Linked DNA regions of Oreochromis niloticus. The protein of the gene in region 2 interacts with the protein of the main gene of each other region in a pairwise test. Links are inferred from orthologs where the notes say so. Each region holds a gene or a part of one and is shown on either strand. Other genes may lie near its edges. The genes, in order: pex10, pex19, pex16 and pex11b.

What was found.
Region 1: the proteins of pex19 (region 2) and pex10 interact in a two-hybrid assay, tested with the Homo sapiens proteins (4 studies listed by BioGRID and IntAct, with this or other methods). The link is inferred for Oreochromis niloticus from reciprocal best matches to the Homo sapiens genes PEX19 and PEX10.
Region 3: the proteins of pex19 (region 2) and pex16 interact in binary tests that used the Homo sapiens proteins (3 or more experiments, as listed by UniProt). The link is inferred for Oreochromis niloticus from reciprocal best matches to the Homo sapiens genes PEX19 and PEX16.
Region 4: the proteins of pex19 (region 2) and pex11b interact in binary tests that used the Homo sapiens proteins (3 or more experiments, as listed by UniProt). The link is inferred for Oreochromis niloticus from reciprocal best matches to the Homo sapiens genes PEX19 and PEX11B.

What each region holds. Positions count from the first base shown.
Region 1 is NC_031984.2:35,139,014-35,145,954, forward strand, and holds the start of pex10 (peroxisome biogenesis factor 10), read left to right. Parts: upstream 1-3,926; 5' UTR 3,927-4,189; coding exon 4,190-4,301; intron 4,302-6,149; coding exon 6,150-6,230; intron 6,231-6,304; coding exon 6,305-6,708; intron 6,709-6,941.
Region 2 is NC_031982.2:26,253,756-26,261,012, forward strand, and holds the start of pex19 (peroxisomal biogenesis factor 19), read left to right. Parts: upstream 1-4,254; 5' UTR 4,255-4,322; coding exon 4,323-4,386; intron 4,387-5,845; coding exon 5,846-5,934; intron 5,935-7,257. UniProt on the Homo sapiens protein: Necessary for early peroxisomal biogenesis. Acts both as a cytosolic chaperone and as an import receptor for peroxisomal membrane proteins (PMPs).
Region 3 is NC_031965.2:3,407,295-3,414,833, reverse strand, and holds the start of pex16 (peroxisomal biogenesis factor 16), read right to left. Parts: upstream 3,009-7,539; 5' UTR 3,006-3,008; coding exon 2,930-3,005; intron 2,837-2,929; coding exon 2,693-2,836; intron 2,473-2,692; coding exon 2,437-2,472; intron 1,856-2,436; coding exon 1,779-1,855; intron 519-1,778; coding exon 385-518; intron 1-384. Other genes in the region: cars1 (cysteine--tRNA ligase, cytoplasmic), read left to right, coding at 4,872-4,893, 6,446-6,673. UniProt on the Homo sapiens protein: Required for peroxisome membrane biogenesis. May play a role in early stages of peroxisome assembly. Can recruit other peroxisomal proteins, such as PEX3 and PMP34, to de novo peroxisomes derived from the endoplasmic reticulum (ER).
Region 4 is NC_031985.2:35,570,336-35,578,162, forward strand, and holds the start of pex11b (peroxisomal membrane protein 11B), read left to right. Parts: upstream 1-4,811; 5' UTR 4,812-5,031; coding exon 5,032-5,087; intron 5,088-5,094; exon of another isoform or gene 5,095-5,299; intron 5,300-5,380; coding exon 5,381-5,493; intron 5,494-5,573; coding exon 5,574-5,775; intron 5,776-6,750; coding exon 6,751-7,144; 3' UTR 7,145-7,827. UniProt on the Homo sapiens protein: Involved in peroxisomal proliferation. May regulate peroxisome division by recruiting the dynamin-related GTPase DNM1L to the peroxisomal membrane. Promotes membrane protrusion and elongation on the peroxisomal surface.

The DNA.
Region 1 (6,941 bases), on a different chromosome or scaffold from region 2:
TCCTGACAAATGAAACAGCACCAAATATTTGAATCAGTCACGTCACCTCTGGTGTTTCATAGTGAAGCCTCAGCGTCATCGGTCATGTGATTACAAAGATCTGACATAAGCCACGCCACAGTGAGATGACACGCTTCGGCTGAGATGAAACAAGCTTCAGAGTCTCAGTGTCAAACATCTCTAATGACGCCTCGTGGACTGTGGCACGTTCCTCTTACTGCATCCACATCGTATTGGCACGATGTTGATGTGTCGCTCAATTGTGCCATCTGCTAGAATTAAAGAAATATTGCAGGCGACCCGGAAAAAATCGCTGTGGAGACTAAACTCGGTTCATTCACTCTGACATCTGGACACCAAAGGAATGATAATGCATTATGCATAAACAAGAATGATGTGAATCATTATATTTGTGTGTGCAGTGTATAATTTCATGGGGTTACAAACATAGATGTGTGACGGCACATGACAGAAAGTGCTTTAAGTGCTCAAAGTGTTTGTTTTTAAGGCAGAAGGCACAGAATATGAAAAAAAAAAACTAAAAACCAGCTTATTGCAGGACTTCACACATACTGTAGTGTGCATCCATGTGGGTTTACTGGATATAAATACAGGCTCCATATTTATGCAAAGGTGTAAAGAAGGTTGGTTTTAGGAGTGATTTATGTGGTCAGACGCTGATGTTGGACAAGAAGAACTCAAATTTATCCCAGAGGTCTTCTATCAGGTTAATGTCTGAGTGGGTGAGTGAATACTTTTGGCAGTACAGTGTAAGTTTATGACATATTGTATCACAACTTTTTGGCCACTGGGCAGACATGCCAGTGTGTAATATTACAGAAAAACCAAGGTGAAAGAGAATCGATTGAAATGATTGTCCTGAATTCCCTTCTTTGTTTGTGGTGTGGGTTTGTATTCAGCATTTTTTTTGGCCCACTGGTAAGTTTGCTGGTTTACATTTTGAATTCTTGGCATTTAATTTAAAGATCAGCCTGCAAGTGAATATGAAGGGAACTCATTTCTGAATCCAGTGTTCAGAGTATATCCTGCATATACTGGGCTACTGAACTCTGTCAAACTCTTTGACATGCAAAATGACCTCAGTCTGTTTTTGTTGCCCTCATGTGAACTGACCAGTGTCAAAGTCTTTACTCAGTAACTGTAAAGTATTACCATTTACTTTACTCTTTACTTTTAAAGTAATGCAGGATGTTCTTTACTATCACCAATGTGAGTCACAGATAACGTGTCTAACAGTCATGTGTGCTTGCTCAGGTATTGTACAGTGAATGCAAACACCTTCCTTTGATCCATGATGCCATTAAAACCTTCACCTTCACTGAGTCGCCTGTAAGCTGTATTATATAATCTGACTGTCAGGGAACAGATTAATATTTCTCTGTGCATTCGCGAACCTTCAGCTCGTCGACCGAGCCATCATACACTGTGCGCTGTCTCAGAAACCTGTTTGTAGACAATACGAGGTTCATGAAACATGACAAGTTTCTGTTGTAGCTGTGGAATCCCAGCCTCTCCTTGTGTACTGCTAGTGATTTAGTCCAAGTCCTTCCCACACCTTCCTCTTTCTATTCGCAACATAGTAATGGTATTAAAGTAGGTGCCGAATTGAAGAGAGGGAAAGAAAAGATCCAGACTCCTCCACTCACACAGAGTGAAGCTCAACTTCTTGGTGTGCTGGATGGTTGGGTCAGCTGTTCAAGGATGGAGGCAAGCGCTAAGAAAAGTCACAGTGAGAGAATAAAAGTGGACTCATAATGAGACAACTCCAGCAGCCCAGGGGACAGCAGTAAAAAAAATGGTTCTGCATTTCCAGGCAGATCGCAGCACAGCATGGATGCATGTATTTACCCTACTTACAGTACAGACTGAACTAAAAACACCAGCTCAGCTACTGCACAGAGTTAAAAACCTGTTTCCAAAAACACTTGGATTCCATGTAAAGTGTAAATAAAAGCAGAATATAATGATTGTTGCTTATGACTGATTATGTTTTAAAATTCTTCCATATTGTAGCAGAGAAGAAAAACAATCTGGAAAAAGTTGCTGTAGTTTAAAAATGAAAATGTTTCCCTTTAAAGATTAGATTAGGCCAGTTTGGCATCCAGACTCATATAATTCAGCATTAATGGTGCTTTCACAAACGTGGCAGTAGCTCATGCTACAATTATACAGTCATGTGAGAAAATTAGGACACCCCATAAAATAATCAGCTCTTTATTAATAAATGTTCACGTATCAATGTCCAAAGTCATGTTTTCGCGTATTACTGGAAAAGAAAGTGACTTAATTGCAATTAAACAACAAAAATTAAACGATTGTTACACATCGTAAAGATATGAACAAAAATGTGTATTTTAATGGAGGAAAAAGTTAGGACACCCTACCCCCTAATAACTAGTGTTGCCCCCTTTGGCTGATATAACTTCAGTGAGGCTCCTTTTGTAGCCTTCTACCAGTCTCTGACGTTGATCAGAAGCAAGTTTGGTCCACTCCTCAATGCAGAATTCTTTCAGCTGTGAGATGTTTGAGGGTTTCTTGCATGTACAGCCTGTTTCAGGTCACCCCACAGCATCTCAATGGGATTAAGATCAGAGCTTTCACTTGGCCAATCCAGGACTCTCTGCTTAGTTTTAGCCAGTCCTTGGTGGATTTGCTGGTATGATTTGGGTCATTGTCATGTTGCAGTGTCCAGTTCTGCTTCAGCTTAATTTTTTTAACAGATGGTTTTCACATGTTCTTCGCCCTCTGATACACAGTAGAATTCTATGAGCTGGCCAGATCCTGCTGAAGCAAAGCATCCCCAAACTATGATACTGCCACCTCCATGCTTCACAGTTAGTATGAGGTTCTTTTCTTGGAAGGCTGTATTTGGTTTACGTCAAACATGTTTACTGCTCTGGTGTCCAAATAATGCAGTTTTAGACTCATCTGTCCAAAGAACATTATTCCAGAAGTCGTGGTCTTTGTCTACGTTCTCTCTGGCAAACTTCAGTCTGGCCTTAATGTTTCTCCTAGAGAGCAAAGGTTTCCTCCTTGCACACCTTCCATGAAAGTCAAACTTGTGTAGTTTCTTTCTGATAGTAGAGTCATGCACGTTCACATCGACAGTAGAGAGCCTGCTGTAGTTCCTGTGATGACATTTTAGGTTTTTTGATGACTTCTTTGAGCATCTTGTGGTCTGCTCTGGGGGTGAATATGCTTGGACGGCCAGACCGGGGCATGGTGGCAGTTGTTTTAGTGTCCTCCACTTGTAAACAATTTTCCAAATGGTGGAATGGCTAATGTCACATTCTTTTGAGACCTTTTTGAATCCCTTACCAGACTCACAAGCGGCCACAATCTTCTTTCTGAGGGCATCAGACAGCTCTTTAGATCTCACCATGGTGCTCACTTCAACACTTCGGCTTTCGAACTATGCTATGATAACTAGATGGATGGTCACCCACATTTTTAGCTTATATAGGACAGCATCCATGGTTTCCAGAGGAAATGTCTAACTGTGAGTGAACACTGTGCCTGAGTCCGTCAGTCGGTCACGTTTTCTTTCAGTCAGACCTGTAAGTGCTTTCACTGTGTCTAACTCATCTGTTTGACGTACACACACAGATCTTTACATTATCAGTTTTTAAGAATTTTGATTGTTTTCCTCCAGTTGTTTCCACCAAGTACATGAGCACTACAATGTACACTGACTCTTCTTGAAGGGTCAGGTGGTCTTTGACAAAGAGTGAGTAAAAAACAAAGGTGGTTTTGTTTTGTTAGGAGTGTATGTTTTAAAAGCTGAACACATAATATAAGATGACAGCTTGATACCTTGTTAAACACAATCGGATGAAATCCAAACCTTGTGCGCTTGTAGTGCTCCTCCCTGCCCCTGAGAGGCGCTGTGAGTTATAGGGTTGGCTGTCTGTCTGTTTGTACAGCAGACAGTTCCGGTAATGTTTCCTGGAGCGGCTCAAAACTCCGCAGCTACTCTAAACACTCTCAGTGGATGTTAGTGGACGTTGAGAGTGTGCAAAATGCAGCTCGGATCAGAATAAGAGCAGTTAGGTTTGTTTTATCTGGTGTAGTGACCGGACGACTTGACTTCAGCCTGCGTGTGAATGAAGAGCAGTACCCTGGACGGTGATATCTCGGTGTCACAGCGTGTGACCGGCTGTACCGGACGATGCCCCTGGCTCCTGCGACTCGGGCTCAGCTGATTCGGTGCAGTCAGAAGGACGACTATTATCGAAGCTCTCTGAGGAACAGCGCTAACGACGCCTTCCAGACTCTGGCCGGTAAGAGAAGCACAGCTAAACCGGCACTCTGTGATTCTGGGTATAAGGACTGAATGTCTTGTTTTAACGTAGTTCACTTTCGAGCTCGTCCTGCGATGCGACAGGTGTTTGTCTCCCGGTGTAATCACGGTCTGTGACTTCAGGTGTTTCTGATGTCTTTACTTTTATGGGGAAACAGCCTTTAGTGAGCAGGATTATTTACAAAGGGGTTATATATAAACTGTAGATCTAAACTGGATCCTTATGACTCTGTGATATTGTAACTACATTGTAACCAATCCAGTCTTTTTTGGCCTCGTAAAATATCTTCATAAAACTATGGTTATAGTTGTTGGCCAGAAATATTTTTTTGATGTGAATGAGATTTTTTAACTGGAGAAATAAAGAATATATAATAATAATATAATATAATAGAATAATAGAATAATATATAAACGTCACTTTGTCAAAAACAGTTTTATTTATATAGCACCAAGTCATAACAACAGTTGCCTCAGACGCTTTATATTGTAAGGTAAAGATTCTACAATAATACAAAGAAAACAGAGAAAAACCCCAGAATCAGATGACCCCTGTGAGGAAGCTCTTTGGCGACAGTGAAAAGGAAAAACTTCCCTTTTAACAGGAAGAAAATAGCATCATAACTAAGGGAGGATTCAGGGTCACCTGATCCAACTGTATGCTTTATCAAAGAGGAAGGTTTAGAGCTCGATCCTAAAGGCAGAGAGGGCGTCTGTCTCCCCAGTCCAAACTGGAAGCTGGTTCCACAGAGGAGCCTGAGGGCTCTGCCTCCCGTTCTGCTTTTCAGTACTCTAGGAGCCGCAAGCAAGCGAGACCCCAGTCTGATTGACTATTTCAAAATAACAGCCCTTTGAATTTGCTTATATATTAGCCACTTTTTTTGAATTCAGAATCCCATTAAAAGGAAGAAGAGCCACTCTGATTGGCTGTTGCACCTCACATGATAAGCTTACACTGATGTGTGCATTAGACAGTTTGCAAAACTAAGCGGGGATCTCAAAACAGCAATGGACAGCATGATAGCTACAATGAATAGTATTCGCTCCAACACAGCTTCCTCCACATGCAGCTCTCAGAAATGTCCACTGAGCACACTGTTGTCAGGTGGTTTTCATGGATTTGCTGTGTATGTGTGAAATATGGCCGGTTTCAAAAGGAAACCATGAATAAACATGACTTGTGTTGCTGTTTATCTGTCCCAGATAAACACACTAACATTGTTACTGCTGTATACCCTTACAGTGGTGTTCGGTCAATTTCAAGATTTTTAGATTTTAAAATAATAGCACTTGTTCGTAATAAACACCAACATGTACCTGAAAATAAATGTCAAGCTAAATTACTGCAGTAATTTTTTTTCACTTGTATGAATCATGGTGTATTTTGAAGTAATGTCGCTGCTACATATGTTTGTTACATGTTACTGACTGCTGCACATGTGTGTGTTTTGACGTAAGCATTTGGTGTTTGTATCATCTCTGCTCTGTTGGACCGTTTAGCAAAAATCAGCCCATCTGACCTAAAACAGTTATGATATAGGGAGATTTTCTCCCCCAATAAAGGAATATTTAATCTATAATCTACTCTTTATTTGATCAGAAACATGCAGCTTGTGAGTTTTCTTTTTACCCATGTAAGTAGAAGCTGAAGCTGTCAGACAAATACAAGTTTGTCTCTGTGTATAATCCATGTGTATATGCACTGTAAAGATATTTGTCTGTGGGATGAAGCATATTAATCAAACATATTTCATGTTAGGCATTATATTACATTATATTGCCAAAGTGAGGTAATTGTAACCTCTGTATGTTTTCTTCATCTCTGTAGGATCCAGACGATGGCTGGAGTGGAGGAAGGAGATCGAGCTGTTGTCAGATCTTGCATATTTTGGCCTAACAACATTCTTGGGTAGTCACCACAAACCATGTTCAGTTAATGCATTTAGCTGATTTCCTGTTTTGATTGATGGTTCTCCTCTCCAGGCTATCAGACTCTGGGTGAGGAATATGTTAACATTGTCCAAGTGGATCCCACTAAACGTCAGATCCCCTCTCCAGCCAGACGAGGTGTGTTTGTCCTCTGCCACGCCTTCGTTCCTTATCTGTTGGACAAGCTGCTGGTGTGTCTGGAGAACGAGCTTGAAGGCGGGCAAGAGAGCCGCGGTCGGCAGCAGGTGGGGTCCGTGCCATGGAGCCTCGAGGCTTGGCTGAGGAGATGGGTCCAGAAAGCGGCGGCGCTGTGTTCAGAGCCCCAGAGGAGGGCGTGTCTGAACGCTGTGTTTGTCCTCCAGCAGAGCCTGACCCTCCTCTATCGCCTCCACTCGGCTCTGTTTTACGTCACTGGCTCGTTCCACCACCTGTCCAAGAGACTGGCTGATATTAGTTATGTAGGTAATTAAAAAAATCCAGTGCTGTGGGAAATATTTGTCCCCGAGTTATTTCTTTTTGTTGTTTTTTGCATATTTGTCATCCTGACACGCTTCAGATCATCTTTGGTTTCACTGTGGATGAATTCTGTGCCACTCTTCTTTGCAGAATTGTGACCCTGATTTTACTTGGAGTCCATTGAAAGTGACATTTCATCCTACAGCTCGTATCTTCATGAATCTGTGTGTGTGTG
Region 2 (7,257 bases):
TAGTTAGCCCTCCTATGCCGCTCTTGATTTTGTACAGCTCCACGAACCTCTCCATAATGGTCAAGCACAGCAAAAAGGAACCCTTTCAGGTCAACAGATGTAAGACAGGCAAATTCTGCTTCAACCTGAGCAATGGAAGAAGAGGGGTGGAGAGTACAGGCAGAATAAAAAAAAGATTCTTTGAGACCCAAATTTAAGCAAACAGTCATCTGAGGCCCATTAGAGAAAACACAAACACACAAAAGCAAACAAACAAAAAGATGCACTTTACCTGCCGTTCAGCGAACAAGGAAGTTCAGAGAACAATAAGCTCTGTCTTGAAATCTTTTAAAGTAGAATGATTGTGAAAATGACTCATGTGATGTAAAACTTTAGTAAACGTGCGATGAAAAGAACACTGAGTAAAAGGACAAGTAACAATTTCCTTATTCCTCAGATGTTTACCTTGATGAGCAATACTGTTTTAGTCCAACTGCCTCATTAAAGTTACACAACAGGCTTTTTTCATTAAAGCCAGCAAGTCCATTACATACTCCCTTTTTAGATCTGAAATACTGTGCACATTCTGTGTATATGTAGTGGACAGCAATTTACCCAAAAGAGTGCAAAGTTTGCAAGTCCAACTCATTTAAATAACAAAGACAGATGTGATCATCTAGACCTGTGAAAATAAATTAATGACAAACCTGCAGTTATGGATGTTATTACAACCACAAGAACCTAAACAGTCTGCTCCATTGCTTTTGTTAATGAATCATTTGTTGGTAGCACGTCTGAATATTTAGTTTATGCCACCTGCATGCGATCATCAATAGTGCAATATTACTTCTTAAGAAGTACCCTGACACTACAATCTTTATATCATTTGTTCTACAGAGCTATTAAGTTACAATATAATCTGTGGTGTTTCCAGTATGACAAAATGCACAAATTGTAACTTACCATTTGACTCCACTGACAAAAATATATCCCCAGCATCAAGTTTGGCTTCACAGACCTAAAATAAGTAAAATAAAAATATATGTTATAATTATATTGTTTTCGCCATTTACTCATGTTTGCTAATTTTCTGACATATAAACAATGTTAGTTTTGTTACAATACAGAGAATGCAGTTTAATTAAAAGGTAAATTATGCAAAAAAAAAAAAAAAAACTTCTGCAGTATACCATACCAAAAATCAGTGTCTCTGATGCCAGTTATTTTATCACTACAGCTCTTTTAGTATGAAAACTCACACAATCTAGTCATACTGATCACAAGAGTTCAAAAATAAGTCAAAATAGTGAGCTGTTGTTAAGCATTAAGCATTTTTTGGGTAACAAATAACTGCACAATATAATTAAAGCAAAAAATAAGCACACTGGAGGACTATCTGATAAAAACTAATATAATGCTGGTTTGTAGACCATATTTTGTCTCAGTCCTCAGCGCACTCTTGCAGCTTAGCATGCAGCAGTTAATAACAACTTAAGTGATTACATAGGGGTAAACAGATGACAACAAGCATCGGAGTCCTGCCAAAAAGTTCTTTTTGAACCCAGTCAGTTATTGGAAATATTGCCAAAATGAACTTCCATCAAAATACAACAGCCTGTGAACTTGAAAGAAAAGGGCCACAGACGCAGAGAGAGAGCGTCACCTGTAACCATGGCAACGTAACAACAAAACATGACTGTCAAAACAAAACCCCGAACAGCCCTGGCCCGCTACAATATGTTGAAATAACAAACAGCTAGAATTACATTTTACAGTGTATGGACTGTAAAACTGACGCGTTTCCTGAAAATAGAAAAAGGAAACCCCCGACATCTGGTATCACATAGGCATTTATACAAGACTGATTTGACTTATTTAAATCGTTCACATTTCAACAATTAAGGCCTGTGGGGCTAATAACTAGATAGACATTTTTTTAAGTGTATTTTACTACGTAATAGTAGTTCTTCATGACACAGCTCAGGGGTTTTATTATTGAATTTCTAAATAAATCAATTTCCACATGACATTAAAAAGGAAGTTACACTCCTTTACACACTATGTCTTGCTCATATACGATTCTACTGGTTCTGAAAGTATTTATAGTTCTCGAAGTCCATTTAAAAGTAAAATGTTGATGCCTAACAATATATTTTCCAATATAATGACAAATGTGAATGTCTGTTCCATGATCTATTATATAGGCTAGTGCCCTGTGTGTTATAATGTCTCTGTAAAATTCATCTTGTGCTTTGTATTAAAAAAATTCTGATATATGATCGTTTATATAATGGTAATTATATTTTATGTAAAAAGGAGAGGGAGAGGAAGGAGGGGAAGGGGAAGGAGGGGGAAGGAGAGAAAAGAAGAAAAAAAATTTGTCACTGTAAATGAGATATATACTTTGTTGCCTGAAATGTACAGAGTGCCAATGTAGATAAACATGTACAGTGGCAATAAAAAAAAATAAATAAATAAATAAAAAAAATCTGGTGCACTACAGCTGTATCACAAAAATTGTGGCACAAAGTGTCTGAACTGGAGAGGATTCTAAGAAGCACAAAGAGATTAAAGTACTCAACTAGTCTTTCTAATTCAAATTAATTAATAATTTTTCCACTTTGCACACAGGAGTGCATCTGAACATAATGATATAAAGTTATAATATTTCTAATCTCTGATATTTGGCACAATGGCTGCACAGTTAAGGGGTTAGATGAGGACTAAATGAACTAACTATTGCTCAGAATTCAGTAACCCACGTTTTAAGAACAGCATCTTACATGTTCATATCATGTCCAAAAATACAACACGTGATATAAAAAACAAGGGAAAATAAATCAGGTTCTCTATCAGCCTAAAACTAAGGATAATAACCACTATAAACTGTAATGATATTGATTCACTTCATGTTTCAGAGTTTTCCTCCTCTTCTTTTGCTGCTCCCTTTAGCAGAGTTCACCACAGTGGATCATTTGCTTTCATCTCAGCCTCTGTCTACCATGTCAATTAATCTTTCTGTCTGGCAGCTCCATCTTCAACACCCTTCTTTGCATGATCCAACCATTTCAGCCTTTCCTTACTAACTTTGTCTCCAAGCTATTCAACCTGAGCTGCCCCTCTGATGTAACCATTTCCAGTGATGGTGCCATGATCTCCAAGATGACATCATAACAGGTGATCTTGTAAGCCTTAAACTTTTTTTTCACTCTTGCTGCTGTCCTTCTATCATACATCACCCCTGATACTTGGCTCCACACACTCCTCCCTGCCTGCACTCTCTTCTTCACCTCTCGTGTGCACCATCCATTGCTTTGGATGGTTTACGCAAAGTACTTAAAATCAACTACCTTCACTATCACCACTTCTTGCAGCTTCACTCTTACACCTGTCTCCCTCTCATTCAAACACATGTAATCTATCTTGCCTTCTACTTATTTTCATTCCTCTTCTTTCCATTGCATACCTCCATCTCTCCAGGCTCTCTTCCACATGCTGCCTGCTCTCAATATAGATCACAATGTTATCCACGAACATCGACGTCCACAGAGACTCCAGGCTGACCTCATCTGCCAACCTGTCCAAACAAGAAGGTGCTCAGAGCTAAACCCCGATATAATCCCACCCCCACCTTCAACCCATCTATCAGTTAAACTGCACACATCACCACTGTCTCACTGTCCTTATACGTGTCCCGCACCACCCTCACACACTTCTCTGCCACTCCTGACTTCATTCTATCACACGCTTTGGCTAGATCCACAGTTCAAGTCCTTTTAATCTTCCCTATACTTCTCTATCAGGACTCTCAAATAAAACAACTGTAGTTTAATGTTTGCGAGTTTTAAACTGACTAAATGTACAGAGCAGTGTGGTTTCTTATCAATGACATTTACAGATACAGAATTTGTCCATTGTAATAATAAGAACAACGAGGTGAAGATGGGATAAACACCATGTCCAAACAAAATCTGTAAAATATTTATAATTTAATAAAAGTAGGATACTTTAAAATAAAGACAATCTCAAAGAACAATGAAATAAAGGCAAATTGTACAGTGAAAATGACACAAAAGGGTGACCACAATTAAATAGAAAACATTTAAAAAGTCACATAAATTCTAATAAAAACAGAAATTAAATACAGGAAGTATTATGTAAACATTTGTGCTTTTGTGTGCGCGTTTTCCATAACACTAAACAACACTCCAGAGTAAAATATTTAACCGGCCACGAGGCGGCGCTACATTTAAAATCAGACTCGGGTGAGTGACGTAGAGGTGTTCGCGACATTTTTACAGCAGAAGCGGCAGTTTCCGCGCTGGGTTGGAGAAGGCAACATCATGGCGTCAGGAACAGGAGGGTCGTCCGATGGACACGATGCAGAGCTGGAAGAATTATTAGACAGTAAGACTCGGCATTAATATTTTATCAGTGTGTGTATTTCTGAACACAGCAGTGGGATTTTCGTGCAGCTTCGTGGTGTCGCCGTGTCCTTTTTTGTTGTTGTTGTGCTTCCACCGTGTCAGGGCTTAGCTCAACGTCAGGTGCTCCTGCCCGGGTCCCAAAGATCTGCAGAAGTAATGTTCAAGAAGAAACGTCAGCACGAATCGCTTCATGTCTCTGCTGTCAGATAACTTTATCCGGGTTCAGTTTGTGCCCTTCATCGTGTATCTGCACAGAACACGGAGTCAATTTCCTTAACGACATATTTTGTTCAAGGCAAATTTTCAAAACAACCCAGCTTAGGATTTAAAGTGTTTTATTTTTCCAAATATGTATAAAGGCTAAATTATATACAGTTTTATTTTCTCAACAGTAGGTTTTCAATATAAAAGACATTCATAACAATAATAAAACAATCAGAAAAGGGCTAAAAATCTTCAAACCACTTTATATATTTTTCCTTCAATTTAAAGTCATCATTTGTCTTACATAAGACAACATATTATTGTGTTATGTGCACCAAATTCTGACCCTTCCATCCAAATGTTGCAGCAGAAATCAAGACTCATCAGACCAGTCAAACCTTTTCTAAGCTTCTAGTTTTCAAATTAGTTCTTCGTTGACAGGAATTTCACCTGGCGTGGTCTTATGCCCCTGTAGCCCTTGTACTTCAAAGTTTGATGTATTTTGCATTCAGAGATGCTTTTCTGTGTTGACTGGTTGCATTGAGTGGTTATTTAAGTTAATGTTGCCTTCCTGTCAGCTCGAAGCTTCCTGGCTATTCTCTGACCTCTGACATCAACATGACATTTTCACCCAGAGAACTGCTGCTCACTGGATCTTTTCTCTTTTCACACCATTCTCTTTAAACCGCAGTGATGGTTGTGTGGGAACATCCCAGTAAATCAGCAGTTTCTGAACAACCATTTCATATTCTAAGTTACTTAAATAACCTTTCTTTGCCACTCTTGTGGTCAGTTTAAGATTAAGCAGGTTGTTGTGTTTTGCTAATTAAAGGTCAAAATGAGTGTTTGAAGAATGAAGTGATTGTTGATTAATTGATTAGTAAAAAAAAAAAAAAGTCACTGCCTTTGTGTTTTAAAATGTGAATATATTATGCTTTTGCTAATTTTCTTTAATAATGAAAATAATCCTTTTTTATTTTGAACTCAGAATGAGTTGATTAAAAACAAGAATTTTATAGAATAGACAATTTTATAGTTCAGAAAAATTGCTGCAGCATCATATGCTGCAGCAGGATGTCATATGCTGACATCCTGCCCATCAGTTATCCCAGTTATCCCATAGCAATGGGACAAACCCATAGCAATGGGATAACTGGATAATTATTTGTCAGTGAATATGAAACCATTAAATGCATTTTGACTGAATTGGTTCTAATGTCATCGCTTTCTTTCAGGTGCGTTGGATGACTTTGAGAAGGCGTCCGTCCCTCCAGCCCCTGAACCTGCAGCCGCTTCGTCCTCAGCCAGCAGTGGTGCACAAAAGGTGCTTGCGAAATAATTTAGAATAGAATGTTTAGAATAGAAGGCCAGCAGCAGCTTCCGGTTCAGATTTTTCTGCCTCAGGACACGGAGGAAGTGCGGCCGCTGCTGGGCCTTCTTTACCGGGGTGATGGTGTTGTGGGTCCAGGTGCCCAGAAACCTGAAGGTGGAGACAGATTCCACCCGTTCTCCATTTATAATCAGTGGGGAATGGACCTGTCTGTGCCTCCTGAAGTCCATTATGAGTTCTTTTGTTTTAAGGACGTTTAGCTTCAGGTTATTTTCTAAGCACCAGAGGGACAAGTTCTCTACATCCGTCCTGTATGCTCTCTCATCTCCATCAGAGTTGAGTCCAACCATGGTGGTGTCCCGGTGGCAAATTTTTAAATAAAAGTTTGGCTAATAGTGAATACCAATACTTTTTTTTTTTTTTTTTCAGTTTTTTCAGAATCAGAATCAGAATCGTGTTTATTGGCCAAGTATATGTGCAGACAAATACAAGGAATTTGGTTCCGGTAGATGGTGGCTATCAAGCACAGCAATGTAAAACACACACACACACACACACACGTCTATATATACATTACACATGCATACACATACATACACAAAGCTGTGTAAACCAACTATAAATAACTAAACTTATATACATAAAATACAGAAATGAAATGAGGTGGAATGAATACTACAGAATGTACATAAGGTGCAGTTGCAGTCTGGCAGTGGGGAGCAGTGTGACAGGTCAACTGTTTAGGAGGGAGATGGCGAGGGGAAAGAAACTGTTCCTGTGTCGGGTGGTCCTGGTCTGCAGGCTTCTGTACCGTCTGCCAGAGGGCAGTTGTGTATTACTGTTGTGTATTCCCCATAATGTTAGGAAAACTAGGAAATGTTGATTTTAAAGAAAGAACTGAGACAATTTGAAGTCTTTTCAGTCCTTCATCACTTTTTTTTTAACATTTCACCACCAAAAAAACTGAGGTCACACAACAGATAAACATCGCAACTTTCTTATTTCCTGATATCAGTAAATATCAGTATTTGCAGATGGCAATATTTGACTGATAAAGCAGTGCTTTTCTGTCTTTTTCTGTTAATTTTCTATCCAAAACTGCAAACTAGAAAGTGTCGGTGTTATTTTAGTTTTGAGCTTTCAAATGTTGGTTCTTTTACTATTAGGAAGCAAGACTGCTGCAGGTTTACATCAAGTGTAAGCTAGAGTCGGGTCTAGAACATAAAAACAAAACAGTTTCAATTCAGATGGAGTGAAAAGAAGAACATCTCCCTCAGTTTTTCCTTATTTCTAAATAAGGTATTTTGGGGTTTTTTT
Region 3 (7,539 bases), on a different chromosome or scaffold from region 2:
GAGTCACTCCCAGCTACACACCACAAGGCCAAAAATATGTGGACATGCAATGAATGCTAAGGTTCTTTGGAGTTCTTTTAAATTTGTGATGCCAAATTTAAAACCAATCTTTGTGGAATGTCCTTTGACAGGTACACTGTCATGTTGAAACAACCACAAAGATGGAACACCATTTGTCTAACATAGACTATATTTTGTGCCTATGCATTAAAGCAATAGGCACAGAAGGAAAGCTAATGTTCTCTTTTGCAGCTCCATTTGCACATGTACAGTAGTAATTTTTACTTTTCCATTTTCCAAAAAAATAACTTAAAATGTAGCCTGTGCAAAATCAGTATCAGTGTTTTTATAATTTCAAATTAAAGTCAAGTTTCCAAGTCATACTTAAAAATCTGAATAAGTCCGATGACAAGCCATCGTCCAACTTCACCCCACAGCTTACAGGCCCCCATCTCCAGGAAGACCTCCACATACTCCAGCACAGACAGCCAAGTCAGGAGCCTCTGTTGAGAGATGGACTAGAAACACCACAATACAAAGGATGGACGACTTATTAGATGAAGAAGGATGAAACCCCTCACTTCTTCCCAAAACAACATCCTATGCACAGTTTCTGAAGTCTTTGTATAGTTTCTTTATTGAAGGAAACCGTACAGTAAAAGATGGATGCAGCCACGGTGATGTCAGCCATTGGTTTCTCGGCCCCACTATTTGAGCCTCAGTGTTAGTGTTTTGGCTGCCGTAATGTTGGTTTTAAAAACCAGAAGTTAACATATTTGGAAAACAGGGTGGAGTGCTAAGTTCTCGGCTCACACTAGCACTGGTTACCAAGCTGCCTTCTTAAAACTGTACAGAAGGAACAGGCAGCCACACTGCTACTCATCACAAGCCAAGCTTCTTTAGCACAATTTAATCACCCAACTATAGTGTTTATGAAGGGAGTACAAAAGTATAAAGACCAAAAACTACTTTGTACCAATCTGGTTTAATGATAATTTGATGCTGGGCATTATTGGAGCCTTTGGAATCAGCCTTAAGCAGCTACAGCTGGCTATTCAGACACATTTAGATGAGAAGGCCTGGCTCACAGTCTCCGCTCTAATTTATCCCAAAGGTGTGGTCAGGACTCTGTGCAGGCAAGTCAAGTTCTTCCACACCAAACTCACTCATCCATGTCTTTATGGACCTTGCTTTGTGCACTGGTGCGCAGTCATGTTAAAACAGGAAGGGGCCATCCAGAAACTGTTCCCACAAAGCTGGGAGCATGAAAATGTCCCAAATGTCTTGGTATGCTGAAGCATTAAGAGTTCCTTTTAATGAAACTAAGGCGCTGAGTGCTTAAAAACACCCGCACACCAAAATCCCCCCTCCACCAAACTTTACACTCGGCACAGTGCAGTCAGACTAGTGGCGTTTTCCTGGCAACTGACTCATCCATCAGACTGCCACTGCTCTAGTGTCCAGTGGCAGCGAGCTTTAAACCACAGAATTCAATGACCTGGATGGGTAAGTGAATACTTTGGCAATACAGTGTATTTGTCTTATTGTGCTCTGGTAAATCCTATAGGGTCATTAATACTATAAAAACTGATCATGGTAACAATAGACTAAGACCATAAGTTTTTTTTAGCATCTCTTTAGAATTTCTAGTTTTTATTGCTGCACCACAAAGGACAGCCATTTAAATTTCATTGCACTCTTCTGCAAAGAGAGTAAATGCTATTCTTTTCTACTGTACTGTGAGAACTGATTTTTGTTTGAATGAAAGCAGAGCTCACCACAGGAAAGGTACATCTCAGCCCTTTGCGCAGAATGTGGTCATTGAATAGCACCAGGAGATTGGAGGCAGAGTACACTAAAAAGATACAAAGTGATGACGAAAATATTTGAATAGTACACAGATTACATAAGACCTATATACAGTATGTTCATTTGTGGACACATAATGCTTAGAAAACTGAAAAGAATGCATAGTGATAATATAACCTGTAAAGTTTCCTCACAGCTCAATATTAATATCAAAACCAGTCCATTATTATTCCCAAGTAAGTATACGGTAATATAATTAATCTGCAAACCATTTATGTCCATTATGTAACTGACGAAAAAGATATTTCAAAAAGTTGTATAATGCTAAAAATAAATAGATATTTATTTTGTTTAGTATAATGTTTTGGCGCATAGGCTGGGAGAGGTTCACCATTCTCCAATGAACTATTTCAAAGATACTTCTCGATGTAAAACAGGACATAATCTGGGATTTGAGAGAACATAATGTCTCTCCTGAGATCTCTGAGCCTTCTGGCTTTTCAGAATTTATGTATTCATTCATATTTCTTCATTCACATGGCAAACTCCTACTAATATAGAAGGTGCTGATGCAAGAAAGAACTTAGCGCTAACTAGTCTCTGTGTTGGTCCTTAACATCTACTTACCTAGTTCAGATATTTCATGGGAATCTGTAAATCTCCCTGCAAAAAAACAAACAAACAAAGAAAACATGCCGTCATTCATTTTGCACTGCACAAGCACTTGTAGCTAGTGTTACCGAGCTAAAGTGAAACTAACAAGAGATCTGGAGCGTTGATTTCCAAAAAAACAACCATAACGCCAGTTGAGCTTTTGCACTACTTCTAAACGGAGAGCCTTAATCCCAACACACTGTATATAAAAACTGCTTCTACGACTGACCTGCGAGCAGGTAAGAGAGAGTCCGCACGGTACTCTCCAGCTGCGCGGTGGCAGCTGGGTTTCTCCTCACATACTCGGTGTAGCGTTCATAAATACGCGTCACTTTGTCCAAATACTCCTTAACGTGAGACATTTCAGCTTCCTCTGAAAGACACACTCTGCATTTAACCGCTGTGCTCACAACAGACCAGCTAATCTACTTTTATGACTTCTCACTCCTATATTCTAAAAGTATACCGTAAACTTCCGCTTCTTCTTCTTCTTCTTCTTCTTCCGCCTCCCATGGCTGTTGGCAAACAGCGAAACGGTGCATTACTCCCACCAACCGGTACGGAGTGTGGCCCGAAAAGTAGCTTTTAAAATTTTTTTATTTCAATATGATCCAGATCAGAGGATTTAACCATCACTGTACCGAGGAGGAGGTTTTGGAGTTGCCTTGTCAGCACCTGACACTCCTGTTAGTGTAATATAAGATGTTCAACAGTTTCTTCGTCTCCACAGTAATTACATTTTCCTGTACTGCGTTTCCATGTTATGATTATGAATAATGTTGTTTAAACTAGTGTGGCCACGTCTGAGTCGTAATATGACCATCCTCTCCTGCTCCTTCCTGTTTCTCATTTTTCACAGATTTTCTTTGAACACATGAAAGGCAGTCCTGTTCGTTTAATAATCATCATCGGTGGATGTCACATAAAAAGTTAGGACGCGTGCCAAAGTCAGGGGTTAAAAGTCGGACTGTGTTTTTTGTTTTGTTTTTTTGCCACAACACCAGAATGACTGCAGGTGTCCCTAAGTTGCGGTTGTGGTACTTCAGCATGTACCTCTAGTGAAGAGGAGCATAAAGGGAGTGAGATTTTTTTTAAGTGGCAGGTAATTTCAAATATAGCGTTTCTATCAGCTCAACAAAAATCAGCCAACACACAAACTGTTTGTGTGAAGTTTGTCTCACAGTGTGTTGCTAGCTAAAGGTCCAGCTGCTGTATTTCACAGGGATAGAAAGGAAAGAGAGGCAACTTCACTCAGAGATGGAGAAAGCGAGGAAAGACAGGACAAGAGAGGAAGAAGAGAGGTCAGATTTAAATGTAAGGACTGCTAAGTGGTGTTTGATAAACTGGAAATTTGAAGCTTAAAGAATAGTGTGTGACTGGTGCACAGTAGCCTTGGGTTCAGGGTCAGAGTCAGGTTAGATCAAGTGTAGCAGAGATTCAAATGAATTTTAGCTGATGATCCACTGACTGAATTCCACCTTCATAAAAATTTATACCATCTAGAAAACAGACAGCATAAACAGGGTACTGTCAGTGTAGAGGATGGAAATCAGCCAGGACAACTCATGAAACACCTGCTAACACCTTGTTGAATTAATTTGTGTAAATCCACAAAGAGCAGCAGGTCAGCTGATCACAGCCTATACACTAAGAAAATATACTGGAGCTGTCAATAGAAGTTATTGTGTTATTATTCTTTTCCCCACATTGAGCCATTACAGCCAATTTTAGGGTTCCTCCACCTGCTAAATCCCACTTTAACCCCTGACTGTACCCTGTTTAAAGGCAAAGTCACCCTCTACAGTGTAGGCAACAAAAAATATATATATATTTTTTTATTTTCTTTCTTTTTTCCAGATTCAATCTGAGTATGATTAGAATTTAAAAAAAATTGACAACAGTTTGTATTCCCAAATCCTGATATTATTTGATCATTATGTTAATACAGCACGCGGTTCAGTTAGCTTTGCACAGAAATAGAAACATCCTCCAAAGAGCTACTTTTTACTTTCTTATTTTGAGTTTGAAACTGTACTTTTTTACTTTTACTTGCATAAACAACTTGAATAAGTATTTTTTTTAATAGTAGTATTTGTACTTCTGTTTTACTACAGAATGTCGGTACTTTTCCACTGAGATTTAAAACCACATTCCAAGAAATACCAAGAAATCATTTTTTAAATTTTTTCCAACTTTTTCTTAAACATACACACACAAACGCCAAACAAAACAAAACAAAACAAAAAACCCATTGTCTCAACTTCCGCTTTGACGAGTGTACCATCATTTATGTCCGCCAGCTCTCAGGTTCAAACACTTTGGTTCCTATTCCTACTCCTCGTTTATACGGGTTCTTCTTCCGGGCACGTTATTGTTGCATCAGCATCCAGCCTTTGACTACTGTGACAATGTCGGCTTCGGGAGATCCGGGTACAGTAAATAATATATGGTGTTTGCTTTTATGGGTTCGTTAGTTGAAAAACCGCATAAAGCTATGACAGCACAATCTAACGCATTTTGATGAAGTGTCACAGCGAATATGCTAACGCTCAGGCTAGCTAATATGTAGAGCTGTGCCCCAAAGTGCAGTTGAGCCGCTTAGCTAAAGGAAACACTGTCAATGAGTGACAAGCCGAATTTCATATACAAATACTGCTTAAACCAATACTTAACACCTGGGCAAAGACACAGGGCAGCAAATATTATTCAGCAATTTGTCTGCGTTCAAAAAAGGTAGCCTCATCTTCGGCTCATTTATCCAGTCAAACAGAATGTTAGAAGTAACTACAGTTTATTCTCTTTTATTTGTTTATAGTGTTTTAGTGAACCTATTCGACTCTGTGTGATTTATACGTTTGTAATTTAACAAACTGAAATGTATTGTTGTTTTTCTTCATATAAAATAAGGAGTCAAATGGAACTGGCTATGAAAATGTTTTATACACATGTAATTTTGTTGTCCTCATTATTTTACACAGGCTAACTTCTGCAGACCTGCACTTTAAAAAACAAAACAAAAAACTGCAGTTATTATCCTGTTTATTTGGGGATATTTCCAGGGGGAATTAAAAGCTGAAAGGTGTTGGGTGTTTTTGTTGAACAGTGTTTTGTTTAAGTCTATTTCGGGTTTAAGTTCCAGCTTCTTTCGTGTCATCTTTAAGAATATTATTAGCATCCGAAAGTATCGCCTTTCTGTTTGATATTTTTTCAAAGGTTTATGGAAAGCATTGAAATTATTATTAGTATTATTATTATTGGTATTGGTAGTAGTGGTAGTATGCTTACTGTGATTTTTACTCTCAGGTCAGTAATTTAAATTTTATACAGCACAACAATGAAATAAAACAGTCGAGGTGTGATTAAAGTGTAGACTTTCAGCTTCAAGTTAAGAAGGAAATTAACCTAAAATGACTATGAAATTGCTTATTAGTATGTTCCTAATTTACCTTTAAACCAGTGAAACCTGACCCTTTAAAACATTGGTAACATTAACAGTTTTACCAATATATTTACTGTATTTATTTTCAGCCCCTTGAATCGATAAAAAAAATGTGATCCTGTCCAAATACTTGTTGACCTGCAGTTAGAATTACAGCTCAAATAGTAATATGAAAATCACGGGTTGCTTCTATAAGACATGTAACCTGCATCCTTAATTACGTATTTTTTCCTCCATCTTTTGCTTTCTCCCGTTTCCACTCAGTGCTTGCACCTCTCTTGTTTTCTTATACATATATAAGGTTCTCTGTGAGTGGCTAAAGGCCAGTGTTATTCAGCATTAGTTCTGCTAGGCTATGTTTGGGTAGCGAGTAGTTTCATTTAACTCACTCATAAGTGCAGTTTACATTGGACGTGTGCCGACTTTCCAACTGATCGAGTAATTCTTGGCTCTGACCAAAGTCATTAGTCTCATTGGTTATTCCACTGTCCAGTGGAGTAAGGTGGTAATTCTTTGCGAACATTTGCCCTCTTGTTTCTGCAGCCTTTGAGTATGGCTTCTTGCTACAGATAAGTGAGGAGGCTGCACTGACAGTGGCCCTGAATGACTACCTAACCTCACGCAGCTACCTGGCTGGGTTCAGCCCCACCCAGGTCGACCAGAAAGCCTTTAAGCTCCTCCACAGACCCCCAGATCCACAACATGTCCACGCTCTGCGCTGGTACAGACACATAGCAGCCCTGCAACAGGACCTCAACCCAGAAAGCAGCAGTGAGTAGAAAGCTGAAGGCATGAACAGGCTAGATGTGGTCCTGCGCCTGCTGGCCGTGGATGTGGAGGCACTCTGAGGCTGTGACGTGCCCTCTTAAACAAACTGACTCTCAGCATGAACTAAGGCTTCCTTTGCAGGCACTGGAATGAATTCTGTTTTAGCTTGCACTTTTGATGTCAGTCATAGCAGCTTGATGTGTGTGGTACCTGCAGCTAAGCGCTGAGGAGACTCGCGTTATCGCTGTGTAAACACGGCAGCAACAGCTGGTGAAGACCCCACAGGCAAATACTCTTTGTTCCCATACCTGGCTAAATAGCTTAATATTAATAAGGACAACTTTACAAAAAATGTAAAACATCATGAAAAGAAACTGAGTAACTGATGATAGAACACAGAAATGTTTATTTATTAATCTAAACGATGTGTAAGAGCGTACTTGGATTTTCTCAGTTCTCTTACCAGAGCTGCTGCCTAATAACTCCTGGAGGTTACGTGGCTGATGTGAGTGGGAGTGAAACTCTTATTAAAAAACCCCATAAATAGTAAATTTGACCTATTATGCTCACTTTCATCTCTGTATTTTCATCCTGGGACTCCAGTGCATTGTTTTGCTCAACTGAGTGAAAAGTTGTCTTATGCTGTGCCAGTCTCGGATGTCTAGATTTCCTTCATTTCTTTCACCTTCACTTTCCATTTAACTCTGCTGTGTTACTGGAAAATTCCATTCTTCCATTCTTCTTTACAAGGACACAGTAAGCACGATAGATGTAAGTTTGGGGTCTGAAAGGTGAAGCAAAACCAGAAATCCTTCAAAACTATATTTTTTCAAATTTATTTTTACCATGTGGTTGTTAAAAGACTTCTG
Region 4 (7,827 bases), on a different chromosome or scaffold from region 2:
CTTGTGCAAAGAATAAACACTGATACAGATGTGCAATCAGCACGATCAGAGGAAAAGTGTCTCAAATGCTTGGCTACCTAACATTCAGATAATCTTTTTTTTGTTTTTTTGTTTTTTTAAACTTTCTTTTTATTGTTTTTCTTTAGACACTATACGGGGGGGGGGGTAGGGGGGTAACAACAAAACAAAACAACAACAAAAAATAAATAAAATAAATAGTGCAAGTAGGATAACAGAGACAAACAAACAAACAAACAAAAAACAACAGCAACAACAAAAAACAACAAACAAAAAAAAAAAAGGAAAAAGAAAAGCCATGTTGGATCTCCTTGTTTCTACAGTTTGATCATTTCTCATTATCAGTGTGTTGGTCTTTATCCTGTTAGGTTTGTGTACTCAGTCCATTTCTCCCACTTTTTATGGTATTGATCTTCCTGAGTCCTTATTCTGTAGGTCAATTGTTCCATGATTTGTATTTCATCTATAATTTTTATCCATTCGTCCTGTGATGGTGGGTCTATCTTGTTCCATTTTCTTGTAATTGCCTTTTTACAGGCAGCAAGCATAATTTTCAATATGTATCTATCTTCTTTCATCACATTTCCCGGAATGACACCAAAATATAATAATGTACAAGTCTTAGATACAACATAACCCAGAATTTTACCTATAACTAAATGAACATCTGCCCAAAATTTTGTAATCTTGGGACACAACCAGAACACATGGGAATGATTCACATCTACCTCTCCACAGCCCCTCCAACACGGCTGTGGTAATGAGGTATATTTGTTCTTAATTTTAGGTGTTATAAAAAATCTAATTACATTTTTCCAGCAGTGCAGTCTCCAGGCACGTGATGATGTTGTTGACTGCTGTATTTTCCAGATTTGTGACCATTCCCCATCAGATATGTTCACTCCCAACTCTCTCTGCCACTTCGGTTTTACATATGTTGTCGTACACCCTTTCGCCTCCATTATATGCTCGTAAACTGTAGAGATTATTCTAATTTTTTTTGCTTTGTAAACTTCAATTATGATTTTAATTATCGAATTTTTATCCAGATCTACACTATGTTTTACTTCTTTGTTAAAAAAGTCCCTAATCTGTAAATATCTGTAGTGATCTTGATTACTTAGTTCATATTTTTGTTTAATCTCCTGGAAACTCATAAAATTCCCATCTTTGATTAGTGTACACATCGCTGTTAATCCAGTAGGAATCCACTGTTTAAATCTTCGGTCCATAGAACTGGGTGTAAAACCCTTATCATAGGCTATCCATCGGATTAATCCAAGCTCTTTTTCTAGTTTGTATTTTCGTATCAGGTTAAACCATATTTTAAACGTAAACTGAGTGACTGGATTCAGCTGTTTGATTACTCTCATCATTTCTTCTCTGTCTCCTATAAGGCTTTGAATTTCTCTTCCTTGTACTGATTTTTCTAAATTCTTCCATTTGGCTTCATAATCATTGTCACACCAACAAATGATATACCTGATTTGTGCAGCATAAAAGTATGCCTCAAGATTTGGGAGTGCCAAACCCCCTTTATCTAACATTCAGATAATCTGATTGAAATATTTGTTTCTATATTTCATCTATAACATTAAGATATTTCTTAAATACCAAAGCATGAACATGAAAAATACACTGGGTACATATTTATCAGAAGCTACATAATTGAACTGATGTGGACAGAGGTCGGAGCCAGCAACCCGCTCTAACCCAAAGTCACTTTGGACACATAATTCCTGTTTATCCTTCCTTAGATCCTCGACCTCTTTGGACAGGTCTTCTGGAGATGATGCACACATGTCCAGTTCAGGGGTGAGCTCTTCTTGCTCTGGTTCAGTGAGTCGCTTCATTCTGTCCAAAACACGATGATGAGTCTTTTTGACCCGGAACACAAACTTGTTTAACCATGAAATGAACACAACATGAGGATTAACAAAGGGTTTGTGAGTCTGCTACAGAAAAATATCTGTTGCAAATACAGACTTTAATGAGCTGGAAGTAATAAAAGTGTATTGTTGTAAAAATGTTTCATTTGAGCAAAAAACAAAACAAAACAATTTTTTTCTCTTTGTCTTTTTCTGGGTGTTGGTTGTTCAGGAAACTCCATTTGGAAATGTTGGTCAAAGTTACCGATGATTGTTGGTTAGTTCACCTGTAAAGTCAATCTTGTTGTTCTGTGCAGCATTTTTGGGCCTCTGTTTGCCTCAGGTTGTGTCTCAGGTGTCTCAGGTTCTTCCTCCAGTTGTTGTAGAGGAACCACAGCTATAAAAAATGCACTATATAAATATTTGGTAAAAGAAAAAAAAAAACTCAGTCTTTGTTATATAATAATAAAAATAAAAACAATAAATCATTAATGAATTAAAATGTGTTCTTCTTACTAAATAATCATTTCTTTCTTTAAGCTAATCTAAATTTAAGAGCACATTAAACTTTGGTGGACTTTATTTATTGTAATCTGTTTTTTAAATGAGATTAACTAGTTTAGATTTATCTAATAATAATGTAAAACATTTCTGTTTTTTCACATATAAACACATTTGTTCTATGTAAGCTTTGTCTTTTATCTATTGCATATATGTAGCAATACAGTACAATAGTCTTTAAATTGTGCTACATTTGTATAGTATATGCTTCGTTGTTATTTTATCTACACAAATAATAACCCACTGCTCCGCCATTGCTGGAAGCCCCTAAGATAAGCACAGATAAGAACATGTAAAAAAAAAGAAGATAATAACAATAACAACAACAACAACAACAACAACAATAATAATAATTAAAGCTGCAAGCAGCGATATGAGGGCCCTCGCACCCCCGGCGGGTCGAGCCAAGCCCAACACCTAAAACCAGCGCTTCCGATCTGATGTCACATTGATGGAATTCATGCATTTAACCACCAGCTAAAATTTCATCTCATTCAACCATTATTATAGTCGTCCCACTAGGTGGCGCTCTAACCATTACTGACAAATGGCATAACAAACATTTCCGAGCTCGAGTCTCATCACGCCTGCGACCTTTGGGAGAGATTAGACATTGTGTTTTTGAGTGACAGCAGATTACTGCTTTTTGGCGAGTGATTGAAACTCCACATGCCGCCATGACCACCCCGTTTCCCTGAACGTAAAAAGCTTCGCAATTTAACATCACAAAGGTCTTTAGATTCCACACACAGGAGATCGCGTAAATCTAATGAAATCCCTTGGAGGAGTTCGTCAAAGTATGAGGCCTGAAAAGAGGGGAAAATGTCGCCAAATTTACACATTAATTTTAAAATGGCTGACTTCCTGTTGGATTTGGGATATTGCTCCAAGAGACTTTTTTGTACATCTTGATATCTCCAATAAGCTTGCCAGGTTTCAAACTCATACATAAAACACAGAGCAGGGGCTGTTGTTTTGAAATTTTGTAGGGGGCGCTGTGGAGCCATTTTGCGCTGTTCAAGGAAAATGAACATATAAAAAGAAATCCCTCATCACATTAGAGGTGTGCGCCAAATTTCAAGACTTTTTAAACTTTTCAAGCCCCTCAAAAGCCACTTCATCTTTCATGGTGAACTGCGCTGCCACCAGGGTGCGCCGTTCAGTTTATAGTCACAATTTTCTCACTGAAGCATCAAGAGGGACTGATGGTGATATTCACCGCTTTTGAGGTGGCCACGATGAACCTGTGAAAATCAGTACAACAAAATGAAAGACATGACATTTCCTGGTGCCACTAGGTGGCGCTCTACGTATTCCTGACAATGGGCATATCAATCTGTTCAGGGCGGGTCTGACATCATCCCTGTAAAATCTGGTACTGATCAGATTGGATTTCATTGAGTTACACTAATTTGTTTCTTCATGGCGAGACCTCAATGTTCGCCATGCTGCTGGGGTCACACCCTTCAGCGAAAACTCACAGTTTTCTCTGTAACCCAAGACCAACTCCTTAAGGCTTTCCTGGAGAAATTTGAGGCTGCAGATGTCACCCATTACAATACTGTACCCCAAAGTGTAAAACATGACATTTCCTGTTCCCACTAGGTGGCGCTGTCCCTGATGTCAAATATGGCAGTTGAAATATGTTCAGGGGTGGAGCCTTATCATATGTGTCCACTTTGGTCAAGGTCGGACAATGTATGACAGAACGAGAGGCAATAAGATTTTCATGGCGAGTCATCGAAATTCGCCGTGGTGCCACGGCCTCACAGTAACCCGAAAACTCAAAAGCTCCGCAATTTAACATGGCCCAGGTGTGTAGTTGACACTGACCAAATATGAAGCTTGTACGATGAAATTCCAAGGAGGAGTTCGCAAAAGTTCGAGGCGTGGAAATGGCAAAATTAGAGCCAAAATGTCACCTTCACTTCCAAATGGCGGACTTCCTGTTGGGTTTGCGTCAATGGTCCCACTGACTTTTTTGTTCGTCTTGGCATGATACACATGTGTGCCAAATTTCATACATGTAGCTAAAACGATGTGTTCGTAGGGCTGCATTTAACAAGGCATAGGTGGCGCTACAGAGCCATTTCCCAGTGCTCATATGTAAAACCATTAAAATACAAAATTTTTCACCAGACCTGGCATGTGTGCAAAATTCCAAGAGTTTTCGAGCATGTTAAAGCCCTCAAAAAGGCCCTTCTTTTGCCTGAATAATAATAATAATAATAATAATAATAATAATAATAAGAAGAAGAAGAAGAAGAAGAAACAGAGCAGATACAATAGGGCCTTCGCACAGTCAGTGCTCGGGCCCTAATAATAATAATAATAATCTACAGCGCTGGTTTCAAACTCCAGTCCACAGGGGGCGCCAGCGGGTCTCAGCAGCTCGAAGAAGAAGAATTAGAAGCGCTGGATTGACTCTCTTGTTTTCTACTCGGACAGCTAAGCGTAGAAAGCAGAGCTAAAAACTCATGGAGGAGCCCTTCTGGCATTAAAACAAACAACCGCACTAAAGCATTTAAAGCTAAGTTAGCAGTTTGACAGCTAGCCGAGCAGCGGGTACAGGCCGAGAGCCAACATGGACTCTTGGGTTCGCTTTAATGGCCAGAGCCAAGCCAAGGAGAGAGTTTTCAGGTGACGTTACCGACGTTTGGCACATTGCAGGTTGAGACGCGGGGTTCGTCGTGCTTCTTCATTTCTGCGAGTGTGATAAAACCGTCGGCTGGATGTTGCAGACTGAGTTCCGTGTTTGAAGCGGAACTTTTATCTGCTCAGTAGGAGCAGCTCTTCCTGCACTGGTTTCAAATCAAACGGCCTTATGATGCCAGCTCCAGCAGCACAGAGTAGTTGAGTTTGTTAAGCGCACTGCTTTCCGTCCTCGTCACGTGTGTCTCTGTTGATAATGACTGTACGTTGTGCGTTCACAGGGCTGCACAGTATGCTTGCACGCTGCTCGGATCCACTCTGCAACATGACGAAGCAGCTGAGGTCCGCAGAACTGTCAGTCAGCTGGAGGCACACATGAGTCTGACAAGAAAGTGTGAGTAAAACAGCCAGAGCGAGTCTGACTCGTTTCCACGTACCAAAGCTTAAGTGGGGCTGGTGTTGGTTCTTCCACAGTGCTACGCCTGGGCAACTCCGTGGAGGCCCTGGAGGCCGCCAAAAGGGCCATACACCTTTCTGACAGCGTGCTGAGGCTCTGCCTGACCATCAGTCACCTTAACAGAGCCATGTACTTTGCCTGCGACAATGTGCTGTGGGCAGGAAAAACCGGTCTCATCTCCAAACTCGACCAGCACAAGTGGAGTCAGAGATCTTTCAGGTGTGTGAGAAATACATAAATAAGAAATACATGCAGGACTGGTTGTTTAAACAGTCTCATGTTGCTCCACAGATCAAACTATATGTACATCTACTGAATTCTAACTGATCGCAATGAGGGCCTAAAAATCCTCCATGTCGTTCATTATTAACATTATGTTGTATTATTATAGGGTCTTTACACTATAAAGCACATTGGGGCAACTGTTGTTGTGATTTGGCGCTGTATAAATACAGCTGAACTGAGCTGCCTCCCCAGTGAGTCTCTGGTCCCTGTTCAGCTTTCTGGAAAACCTTTTTCAAGAGATACTAAACAGAACTTGTGTGTGGTGAAGTGTGCAGTTATGGCAGCCTCACCAAGGTTACAGAGTAAGTCGAGCCATTGGACAGAGCGACTGTAGTAACGCAGGATGAACCTGTTAATTAGAAGCAGTGGGTTTAATCCAGTTAATCGAGTGCTTCCGATTATGAGGTCTAAGTAATTTCTTGTTGGACTCAGGTTTCCATTTGCAGCTCCTTCAGTCCACATGTCTAACATGGCACTCGAGTGTGTAAGAATACACCAGACATTCCTTTGTGAAAGTGTCACTGAGGCTTTTAATTTGAAAGTACTTTAAGCGCTCATAATAAAAAGGTTCTGTAGAAATGTCAAGTCTGCTTACTGCTAGTGATAGTGAACCTGTTTCAGAGGACATGCAGTGCTTTCAACCAGAGCTGGTGTGATGCCTTTGTGTGGGAAATTAATTCATGGTATTTGTCTCATCTGTGTCTACTTCCAGCAGTTACCCATAGTGGTTTTGAGTTTGTATGACTAAAGTGACATATGCACTCAAAGCCTGATTTGAAGTGAGTGGTTGCAGTCATCTTCATATCAGGGTCACAAAGGAATCACATTTATCTTCTAGTGCTTATCACTGATTTCAGGTAACTGAAATGTAAAATTGAGTTAACACAAACTGTGTGGTTAAACCTGCAGGTACTACCTCTTTGCTTTGATCCTGAACCTGACCCGAGATGCCTACGAGCTGCACCTCCTCATGGAGCGCGAAGCACGTTCCAGAACCAGCAAACAGCCATCCTCCCCCAGTATTCCTCTCCCACCTGACCACCTTTCCTCTTCCTCCTCACCTGCCACACAAGCCATGAATTTTGGCTGGCTCTACAGACAGCTTCATCTGGTGGGGACTGTGCTGTACAGCAACCCGCCACTGCTGTTGGACCTGGTGAAGAACAGTTGTGATATCTTCATCCCACTGGACCGGTTGGGGATTTACCCTACAGGTCCAGGCTTTGTTGGGGCTTGTGGCCTGGCCTCGTCCGTCCTGTCCATCCTCACCATGGTTCACCCCTGGCTCAAGCTCAAACCATAAATTGTAAGACTTGGAGGAGATATTCATTTGAGGACTAGCAAGGATTGAGAAAATTCTAATGGGGTTAACAAAATTTTTTTTCCCCCGATTCTACACAAAGCAGTCCTGACTACGTGAGCCGTTGTACTGCCACCATGCTGTGTGATTGAGTTCCTTCAAATCTCTTGAGTGCTACTGAAAAGCTGAGGAGTTTCTAAAATGCTACATCAGTTTCACATATTATTTCAGACCTGCATGAACACGGTCGTTGCTTGGCCTTAGATCACACTGCTGCTTTACAACCCTCGCTTCCCTCATGTGAGGCTAAACCATGTTAGTTGCTGCCATTCTGCACATAACCATCACATCTCCAGCTCTCTATGACCGTGTCCGTAACAGAGTATAATCAAGGCAATATTGTCTGTGGACATCACTCTAGAACGTGTGATTTCTACCCTCTGTGTTTAACGTTTTTATAGGAAACCACCTTTCGACATCATGTGATTTTACCGTCTGCTCCCAGCAAGTTTGTATTTTAGATATTCTTTTCCATTTTGAACTACTAAGTGACTTAACTACTGGAGAAATAAATCCAAAGGAATTTGATTTGTCTGAATCACTACAGTAAAGTGTAACACGACTAGATCCAGTTGATACATGTAACGACTGGATCTATTGCATTTGTAGCCTTCCAAATTCCACAT